Linked DNA regions of Drosophila melanogaster. The protein of the gene in region 1 interacts with the protein of each later gene in a biochemical or structural test. Each region holds a gene or a part of one and is shown in the gene's direction. Other genes may lie near its edges.

Region 1 (6,789 bases):
TTTATTACTGGTTCATCGTTCAAAGCATTCAGTGTCGTAAAGTGCCAAGCATACTGTAAAACGAAAGCTTTGGCATAACGGTTCTAAAGATTCTCCAATAAAAAAGCGCATCAACATCTTGAATATTCTATTTTGAGAGACACACTTATTTTGTATATTACCAATTGTTAATTCAAGTTTTAATATCTTCTCTTACATAAAATGTTCGTCAAAGTGAAATTAGATGCCGAGGGAAACACAAGTGTGGTATGCAGTTATCTTAAGCCCGCACATATTTTACAATTGTGGCTTATAAATGGAGCTATAATAATTGAAGCTTAAATTTAATAAATACATATTTTCATTTCTCAATCCCATACAGATGCCGGAAATGTTCGAGCTCCACAATAATGCGACCATTGGTGAATTGAAGCAAAAACTGGAGGTAAAAGTAGGTCTTCCCTTGGCTCGCCTAAACGTACAGAGTTTTCACAAGTCTCTGGAAAACGATGAGTTTATTACAAATTTGCTCAGAATTCCGGATAAAAGCGATTATACTTATCCGTCGACAACGCTTAATGGTACAGCCTTTTCGCTGTACCACGAAAATTCCTTTGTAGGATTTCTCCAATTCTATACAATTCCAGAGGGCAAGAGCCAACTGGATTTCCTTAACATGCCGAAGAGCTCTATGCTTCTGCCAGTGGACAGGCTTCCGCAGTTTTGCGAGGCTTCGAACTCGCAAGATTCCTCCGCATCCAGTGCGTCGAACCAGACGAACGCCAGCTTCGAATCCGCAAGCACGAGCGCCAGCTCCGTAGCGCGAAAGACGAGAGTGTGCGCCTCCGATGAGGAATCGGCTGCCAAAAGGTGTGTGTTGTGTGTAATAACTATATATGTAAATGATAGGGATACCCAACTGATTCATTCACAGAATACGAAGCAACCAAGAGAACAGCGTGGTCAAGGTGGTTCCGCAGCAGAATCTGCTCGCGGACAAACGAGCCGGCAGCATGGCTTCCATATTTGGTTCGAAGATCCACCTGATGAACTGCTGCAAGACGGAGACCAGCCGCACAAGCTGCTCAGTGGAGCAGGCCGAGGAGTGCAAGGAGAGGAAGAAGGACTGCTGCACGCCAAAGAATTGTCGCAAGAGGGATACTCGGCCGCCGTATGCGAACACAATGCCCGAGAACCGACGTTACGCCTTGGTGATAACTAACCAGAGTTCGTGCTCGGATGGTGTGGACACTATCGCCCTAATGGAGCACTTTCATTCAATATTCGAGGACAGTGGATCGAGCGTCAGCGATCTCAATTTTAGTGAGTGTGCCTCAACGCAGACATTCGACTGCAACATGCTGGTGGTCTGCGAGGATAACGAAACGGCCCAATGGGTCATCGAAGCAGTCGAAGGTGTGGAGCCGCCCCACTCCTGCCAGCCCTTCATTAAGTTCTTCGATCTAGTGAGGACGACCTTTGTCCTGCCCTTGGTCAGTCCGAATAAGTCGCTCTGTGTGATCTTCGCATTACTGGAGTCACAGAACCCGGGCTTGAATACCGACAGATGGGCCGTCGTTAATCGCTCCACTTTGGACTGCCAAGACGTGGAGAGGCAGGTCGCTCAATTCTGCGACAACGTCCTTATTGAGGTGTATATCGATGAGGATAGCAGGGATTTCATCGCCGACCGGTGTTCCAAATTGCGATACTGTTTCTGGCAACTTAAATTCGATTTTATATAGGACTTTTTGGGCTTTCCAAATTCACTGTTAACTTGTTAAGATACTCCTCAATTGCAGAGAGTATTTACTAAATAGAAATAGTAAAATTTTATGAAGTGTACGAATGAATAAATGTTGTTATAAATTGAATTTTTCCTGCATATATCGAGCATATAGGCCACAAGCAATTTATACTATATTACATATTTATTTATTATTAAATACGTACATTTCAACACTTTTTATAAAAAATACAGGAGGAAAAAAAGCGCGGCAAAGTCGAAAATGGAGTGACCGCACACTCGGCCCGTCCGCGAATTGGTGACTTCGCGCGTTGGTCACACTCGCGAATCCAGTGCCCACAGGCAGAAGCAAAGAAAACCACCACCCGAGGATTAGCGGACAGGAGACTGCCTCTCGGCAGCAGCAGCATTAGCAGCAGCAGCAGCCATTCCACATGGAGCCCATTGACATTGCGCGTCTGGAGGAGGCGGTCGTGTCGTTCTACCGCTCGAACTCGCAGAACCAGGCGATCACCCATGAATGGCTTACCGATGCGGAGGCCAGTCCACAGGCCTGGCAGTTTTCCTGGCAGCTAATGCAGCTCGGCAAGGTGAGTACCACGCAGGACCTGCGCATCAATGCATCAATTACCCGGATATGTATACTCATGCACCTACCGCCCACCCAATCACCCCACCGCCCACACAGAGTCAGGAGGTGCAGTTCTTCGGCGCCATCACGCTGCACTCCAAGCTTATGAAGCACTGGCACGAAGTGCCGCCAGAGAATCGCGAGGAGTTAAAGCAAAAGATACTCGAATCCATCGTTCGCTTCGCTGGCGGACCGAAGATCGTCCTCAATCGGTTGTGCATCTCGCTGGGCGCTTACATCGTTCACATGCTGGGCGAATGGCCCGGCGCCATCGAGGAGGTGATCAACACGTTTCAGAATCAACGGATGCCAAATGTCAGCGCCGATGTGCAATTGTGGATCATGCTGGAGGTGCTGACCGCCATTCCCGAGGAAGCGCAGGTCATACATACGTCTGTCAAGCGGGTTGTTCTGCGCGCCGAGATCGCCAAGCGAGTGCAGTTGGTCATTCACACCGTTGAGCGATATCTGAAGCTGCAAATGAACCGCGTGTGGGATGCCGAGGCGTACAGTAACATGAACAGGGCCGTTAAGTGCGTCGGCACCTGGATCAAGTGAGTATTCAATTTACAAAATTATTCTTTACACGTTCTAAGTGAGTTTCCAACTTGGACAGAAACATCGGCTACACCATTGAGGGCTGCGTCACCATCACCGCCGTGCTCCTGGAAGTGGTGCACAAGTGCTATTGGCCCTGCATACACGCCGGCGACGGCTGCATGACCGCCGATGAGAACGAACTGGCCGAGTCCTGTCTGAAGACCATGGTGAACATTATCATCCAGCCAGACTGCCACAACTATCCAAAGACGGCATTTGTGCTTATAAAAATGTTCCTGGACTCGCTATCCGAAATCACAAAGACGGAATGGAAGAGGGAGAACGACAACGAGGACATTATCGTACATATCTACATGCTGTTCGTCTCTTCGGTGGAGCGACATTCGACGCTGTTGCTCAGCGGCATCACGTCCGCGGATCCGGAATTGTCTATCCTAGTGCATCGCATCGTGCAGGAGATTCTCCACTGCACGGACAAGCCGGGCATTTACCCGGTGGAGGAGTCCTGCAGCACAATGGCCTTGGCGTTTTGGTATATGCTGCAAGACGAAGTGTTCGCCATGTCTAACGATGAGCAGAAACACAAGTGCTGGGAGTACATCAAACCATTGTACGCCCATCTAACCAGGATTTTAGTAAGAAAGTCAGAGCAGCCAGACGAAAAGTCGCTCGCCAAGTGGAGCTCCGATGATTTGGAATGCTTTAGGTGCTACAGACAGGATATATCCGATACCTTTGTGAGTGGTTGCAACAGTTGGAGTGTCTCCAAATCGAAAGGATTGGCTACCGTTTTCAACTATTAACAAACAGGCATAATATAGCATTTATTTTATTTATTTTAGATGTATTGCTATGATGTGTTGAATGACTATATCTTGGAGATTCTGGCTGCCATGTTGGACGAGGCCATTGCCGATCTGCAAAGACATCCCACACACTGGACAAAGCTGGAGGCGTGCATCTATTCCTTTCAGTCGGTGGCCGAGCACTTTGGTGGCGAGGAGAAGCGGCAAATACCACGGCTGATGCGCGTGCTGGCCGAGATTCCCTACGAGAAGCTCAATGTCAAGCTACTGGGCACTGCGCTAGAGACAATGGGCTCCTATTGCAATTGGCTGATGGAGAATCCGGCGTACATTCCGCCAGCCATTAACCTACTGGTGCGCGGCCTCAACTCCTCAATGTCAGCACAGGCGACGCTCGGCCTGAAGGAGCTGTGTCGCGATTGTCAGCTGCAGCTGAAGCCGTATGCGGATCCGCTCCTAAACGCATGCCACGCTTCCCTAAACACGGGCCGCATGAAGAACTCCGATTCGGTGAGGCTTATGTTCAGCATCGGTAAGCTAATGAGCCTGCTGCGGCCAGAGGAAATACCCAAATACTTGGATATTATCGTCAGTCCCTGCTTCGAGGAGCTACAGGCCATTTGCCAGGCAGATTCGGTGAGTAAATATAAATATAAAATATATAAAGAGATCAGTTGCTAACCATTTCTTTTGTTGCACTAGAAAACTCCCGCTGCTCGAATTCGCACAATCTTCCGGCTCAATATGATCTCCACTCTCTTCTCCTCGCTAAACACGGATGTGGACGAGCAGGCGACGGACCAACCGATTGTGCAGCCAGTTCTGCTCGTCATGCAGCGCACGATGCCCATCTTCAAGAGAATCGCCGAGATGTGGGTGGAGGAGATCGATGTCCTAGAGGTAAGGCAATAAACACAAAATTTTGCATATTTTTAATAAAATGTTATCGTATTCATATAGGCCGCTTGCAGTGCGATGAAGCATGCGATAACGAATTTAAGGAGCAGCTTCCAGCCAATGCTGCAGGATCTTTGTCTCTTCATTGTTGCCAGCTTTCAGACCCGATGCTGCGCTCCTACTCTAGAAATATCCAAAACGGTGAGCCTTACCAATATATTGCAAATGACTGAGTGATCTAATAGAATCCTTTGTTTCAGGCCATTGTTATGTTCTTTAAGGACGAAGGCTGCAAGCCGCTGATGCAGCAACTTCTGAGGGAGTTCATCCAACACAGCTTTAAGCTATTTGAGAGCACTCCCGAGCAGAACTTCTCCAACATTTCGGACACCATGGAAACCTTCTTCGGCTGTCTGACGCAGATCATTAAGAAAATCCCTCAAGTTTTGGAGGACAAGACACTGGCCTACGATCGTCTGGTCTTTTACGCCCAGCGTGGAATGACTTTGCCGGAGAGTGGTGCCATCCGAAATAGCATACAGTTTCTTACCCACTTTGTGATGCAGTCGCGTAACCATGCTCATGTCACAGAAGTTGTCCTGGCCACCGGCGAGCAGACGCTGTACACGGCGATGATGTGCGTGGGCTACCTAACGCCGCGGTCGCAGGTGGATAAGTTTGCAGACATCCTTCTTGCCATGAACAGAAAATATGCCGCCGAGATGGCCGTCTGGATGAAGTCCCTAATGTCCACTCCCAATTTCCCCACACAGCTCATAACCGACGCGGATAAAACGCGCTACACTGCTCTAATAATCAAGTGAGAGGCGTTACTTATATATAGATCCTTAAAGATTGTATTAATTTTATAAATTTTTTCACAGGGAAAAGGTCAACAAGAGGTTATTGCAACAACATTTGTCGGAAATGGCAATGAAGACCCGAGGACTTACAGAAAAGTTCCAGTGAAATGAGTGTATGCAATAAGTGGCCAAATGACATCTTTATCCATCCGGATTTTGATCTAGTTTCTATAATTGTATTTAGTTTGTATTTAAATAGGCCGTCAGCTCTGTAAATTGTCTCCAATTTTAACTTAAGTTCAAAAGTTCTCGACTTGATAAACTTTTATTTATAATTTTTACAAAATTACATGCTCCATTTACAATTTGCACATATATATTGTTTTAAGGGTGTATAACTCATTTTTCATTTATTGTTTTCACTTTTAGTAAATGTTTTATAGTTTTTGTTTTTCCCATATATATATATATGTTTAATTCTTATGTTGAAAAGTTTGATTTTCACCGTTTCCTGTATGAAAAAATCTGCCTTTCTAAGAATTACTTTCCCTTTACCTCTCCACCCATATTATTGTTTTGCAATTTTCCACATTGTGTATGTATCTATAATGCCAAAAATATGTAAATACATCTCTTTATATAATATATATATATATATATATATTTGTGTCTATAGCTAAACTGAAGCCTTTCGTTTTTGGCGTGTACAGCACTTGGTAGTGGTAGCAAAACTCTTTTGATCTGCTTCGTCGCCTTTGTCTAGATTCTAGATTAGTTGAGAGTATCTGCATAAATCCTTGTCTAACGGACCCGGTAATGACTTGACTATGGAACTAAACGACTGGTTGACACGGATCCAAAATTACAGTTTAACATATAGATATAGATTAACGTATAGAAGTAGACGCTACGACCAGCAATTTGTCCCAGTCTGTTGTGGTGACGTTGTAAGGATGCTTATAGGTTATCAACTGTGCTTGGTGGACCAGAAATTGGCACATCTCTATTCCTTGGCGGTCCGCAGGATCATCCACGGCCAGTCCAGGACAAACAAAAATGCCTAATTCCTTTTGATCGGTGTTCAGGAACACGGTTCTCCGCACATATATATATATATATATTTCTATATTTAATAGGTAGTACATACAAAAATACACTCACGCACATACATACCACAATTTATGTGTCCTGCTGGGCGATTTGTTTCATATAAATATATTATGGGTATGCTGCTCTAACTGCTAGGCTAAATAGCGTACAATATTTGCAAATTTGAGTCGTGGAGTAGTAAACATGTTTTATATAGTATGTGTGTATAATAGTGGCATGTGGCATGAATGTCTGGATGTCATATAGCTATCTATG
Region 2 (3,742 bases), on another chromosome or scaffold:
GTCAGCACGGTGAGTGGGCGATAAGACTTGTGGGACTGCTCCTTGCGCATCGGCGTCCCCCAGAAGTCGTTCAGGAAAACGTTGATCAGCGGAGTGTGCGGCCTCAGATCCTTGTTGTCCCTGATTGCGCTGATGTCATCGAAAACAAGCCCGCACTGAGTACTGTTGTAATAGCAGACTATGCAGGCTACGCATATACACAGGAACTCGAGCAGGTTGCGCTGCGGCGAGTTTGTGGCTCCTTCCCGCTCCCGTTCCCTCGGCAAAGTGGAGGGTGCATACTGATGGATTCCGGGGTTGGGGTTCGTTGACATGTTGATTTCGCGTTACTTCGTGAAAGGCGTCATGTACCCACAATTGTTCGTTCAGGCGGCGAAATGTTGCATGTAGGGCTTTACCCAGCCACGGTCGGCAGGTCCCTAGATGGCCTGGAAAAAAATGAGAAAGTGGGAAAACCATTAGTTTAAGTTAACTGGAAACTAATTAAGTATACAAGTCCACCAATTTAAGTATAGACACTTCCTATTAGTGAGAAAGCCCCTAAATGTAGGCAACATACATATCTATATATTTTTTTTGAAAGGGGATTCCCCCGAGCAACAAAATTGTGCAGTAATGTATATGTAAGCCCTCGCATCTTTTCTGGATACACACCCAAATCCTCTTACTTTCCATAGTCCTTCATCCGCAACTTACCGATTTTCCCCCAAGTCAAAGTCTTTTTAAAGACAAACTTTCTACCGCTTTTTATGAGCACTTGAAGTTATACAAAGAAGCAAAAACTGATTGCGGAAAAAATCAATTAATACGCAACAAAGTAACTCCTTCCCGGTTACTGTCCTGGTTACCGACTGCACACACAAAAGCCCGAAGTTAACAAAGTTGTAACCCGGGCGGACCGACAGAGCTCCGGATCCGGACTTTGGGTACGCACAAGTACAAGTATGCGGACGGAGAGCGCTTTTAGAGAGGCGAAGAGCGCGTGAGAGATTTGTTTGCATAAACTGTTGTAAATGTTGCGGGACCTGGAGCATTACTAGGCGGGGCACATCGGTGGGCAGATGGGCGGATGCCACAATGTTGCACTCAATGCCATCGATTTTCCGGGCGTTCAGTCAAAACAAACCACCACAAGCGAAGTAAGCGCTCGTAAAGAGCGAAAAAAGGGGCCTAGCTTCAACGGGAGCTGGAGAGGATTGCATCTCAGCTGAGCGCAACTTTGTTGCACGACCGACTTTTCCCGAAGGACGACCGGGCGGGCACGTGCTCCGTTTACCCTTATTCCATTTTCCCGCCAAGAGCGACACATGCGCGGTCCCGCATCCTTGCACTTTCACTTGCCAGGACGTGCGCTCTCCGTGCTCATGGCTCTCCCGCTCGCCGAGCGCAAATTAATGGCCGTGTGTGTTTTTGTAAAATTACTTTGACCGAGATACGGGGCACTGGAGAAGGATAAGGACATGGCGATGGCTATGGGCGCTGGAACCGGAGAGCCAGCCGCATGTCCTCTCCCATTTTAGTGACATGGACGCCATTACAACGGCGATGGCCTCGCACACGCACACAATCACACGGCCGCAAACAAACCCGATTTGCCAACTTTGTTTCAATTCGCCAATAATTACAATGTTGCCCAGCGAGTTTCGAGCACCGTTTAACAGATGGGTTCTCACACACCGCCCTGTCGTTCACATACTTGTTGAGGTAGTTCCATGGCATCCAAAACTGAATTACATTTTAATAAAAATCAGTGCCAAATGCGCGACTTGTACGTGGATTATTGTTGTGTTATCGATACGCCGATAGGCTGGCTTCTCTTCCTCATCCCTGCCAGCCATTCGCAGCGAACACTTATCGATACGCGGTGATAGTTATTCCGTGTGTTTTCCCATCTCTAACGCGTTGTAGTAAAGGAAAAAGAGTGGGAAACCAAAAATTGATATTTTTCTGAAAGTCTTTCAAAGTTACGCTTTAAACTAGAAGCAATCATGTCCACGGAGGACTTTTACCTACGCTACTACGTCGGACACAAGGGCAAGTTCGGGCACGAATTCTTGGAGTTCGAGTTCCGGCCGGATGGCAAGCTGCGGTACGCCAACAACTCCAACTACAAGAACGACACCATGATCCGCAAGGAGGCCTTCGTCCACCAGTCCGTGATGGAAGAACTGAAGCGAATCATCATCGACTCGGAGATCATGCAGGAGGACGATCTGCCCTGGCCGCCACCAGATCGCGTGGGTCGACAGGTCGGTTTGCCGCACTCCGTAACTAGAGCTCAACTAAACAACCATGTGTCTTTTTCAGGAACTGGAGATCGTCATCGGAGACGAGCACATCTCGTTCACCACCTCGAAAACGGGATCATTGGTGGACGTGAACCGGTCAAAAGATCCCGAGGGCCTGCGATGCTTTTACTACCTGGTGCAGGATCTCAAGTGCCTGGTCTTCTCACTCATCGGCCTGCATTTCAAGATCAAGCCCATATAAGCCGTAGCCACCACCTCAAGCATAGCCTATTTATCGGACGGACACATCGTATTTTATAATGGAACTTCTACGATACTTGTAATTGTATAAGCTATACCTTTGTACTTTTTGGTACAGTTTGCAGTGAATAAAAAAGGATTGGAAGATACTTTGTTTTCAAAGTCTTGTGTACAGTCTAGATTGTGCTATAGAAGTAAATAGCAAATCTTCGATGTAGTAGCAGACAACAAGTTTAACAATAATAGCAAACACAATAGTAAACCATTTAACTTTTGATGTTATAATGTGTAGGTATATTTGAAAAATACAATTTAATATCTATTGTGTTTGAATAATATACATACTCGAGATAAAAATTTAAAGTCCTTTACATTTGTACAATTCGTATATGTCTAAAACAGCTTAAGCTAAGTGATTAATATCTCACAAACTGGCAAATTGTCTTAACGTTTAAGTACAAGCAGTAACTTAGCCTAAGATAATGATCGGTATCTTAAGAAACTGGAATAAAATACGCACTCACATACGGTTTTGAGACTTGCAAAGGGTTTGGCTTACATATGCTACTAAATTCAGTCTTTGGGGTGAGTACTTTGCTAACGAAAGTACAAACTAAGGGCCTGCAGGCGATGCAACACTATAGAAAGCTCTTATAGAGCCGAATGCGTAGGTCTCAGAGTCATAATTGTGGCTGCTGATGCAGCGCCAAAGTGGCTGAGATATTGTTACTGGGTCGCTCCAAATAGCTGCCATGTCCTGGCACGGGCATTGACATTGGCATCTCAAGATGCTGGTGGTGGTGATTCAGCTGCGCTTGCTGTAGATGCTGCTGCGGAAGTTGCTGCTGGTGGGAGAGTTGTGCCTTCAGGAGACTGGGAGATGCCTGCAGCGGAGTGTTGCTGGACACACCGACGCTACTGCCGCCAGGACTGGGACCACCCTCCTTCAGCGGAACGCCGATAGTGAGACGCACATGAAGACCAGACTCCTTGATGAGATTCACTACATCGCCGTGCGACATGCCAGCTATCTCGATGCGGTTTACTGCCACTATGCGATCGCCCACCTTGAGCTCTCCACAACGATCCGCCGGACTGCCGGGTATTAGTTTCCCTTAATACGTTGATATGTTAGATGAATTGAAACAAAGTCTAAAGTCAGTGGCATACCTATTGTCGAGCCGTAATAGTGGTTCGATGATGATATGATAACAAATCCGAAGCCCTCGTTTTCATGCCGGCTGACAATCACA

The links.
Region 2: the proteins of cdm (region 1) and mago are reported together in a solved structure, tested with the Drosophila melanogaster proteins (one study listed by BioGRID).

What each region holds. Positions count from the first base shown.
Region 1 is NT_033777.3:18,178,718-18,185,506, reverse strand, and holds cdm (cadmus), read left to right. Parts: upstream 1-2,027; 5' UTR 2,028-2,160; coding exon 2,161-2,316; intron 2,317-2,414; coding exon 2,415-2,911; intron 2,912-2,973; coding exon 2,974-3,655; intron 3,656-3,760; coding exon 3,761-4,360; intron 4,361-4,426; coding exon 4,427-4,624; intron 4,625-4,684; coding exon 4,685-4,822; intron 4,823-4,881; coding exon 4,882-5,441; intron 5,442-5,457; exon of another isoform or gene 5,458-5,505; coding exon 5,506-5,590; 3' UTR 5,591-6,232; downstream 6,233-6,789. Other genes in the region: CG7208 (uncharacterized protein), read left to right, coding at 362-849, 914-1,724.
Region 2 is NT_033778.4:21,126,706-21,130,447, forward strand, and holds mago (mago nashi), read left to right. Parts: upstream 1-1,871; 5' UTR 1,872-1,988; coding exon 1,989-2,249; intron 2,250-2,307; coding exon 2,308-2,490; 3' UTR 2,491-3,032; downstream 3,033-3,742. Other genes in the region: Tmtc3 (transmembrane O-mannosyltransferase targeting cadherins 3), read right to left, coding at 1-314; magi, read right to left, coding at 3,170-3,603, 3,660-3,742. UniProt on the Drosophila melanogaster protein: Core component of the splicing-dependent multiprotein exon junction complex (EJC) deposited at splice junctions on mRNAs. Involved in exon definition of genes containing long introns, including the rolled/MAPK gene.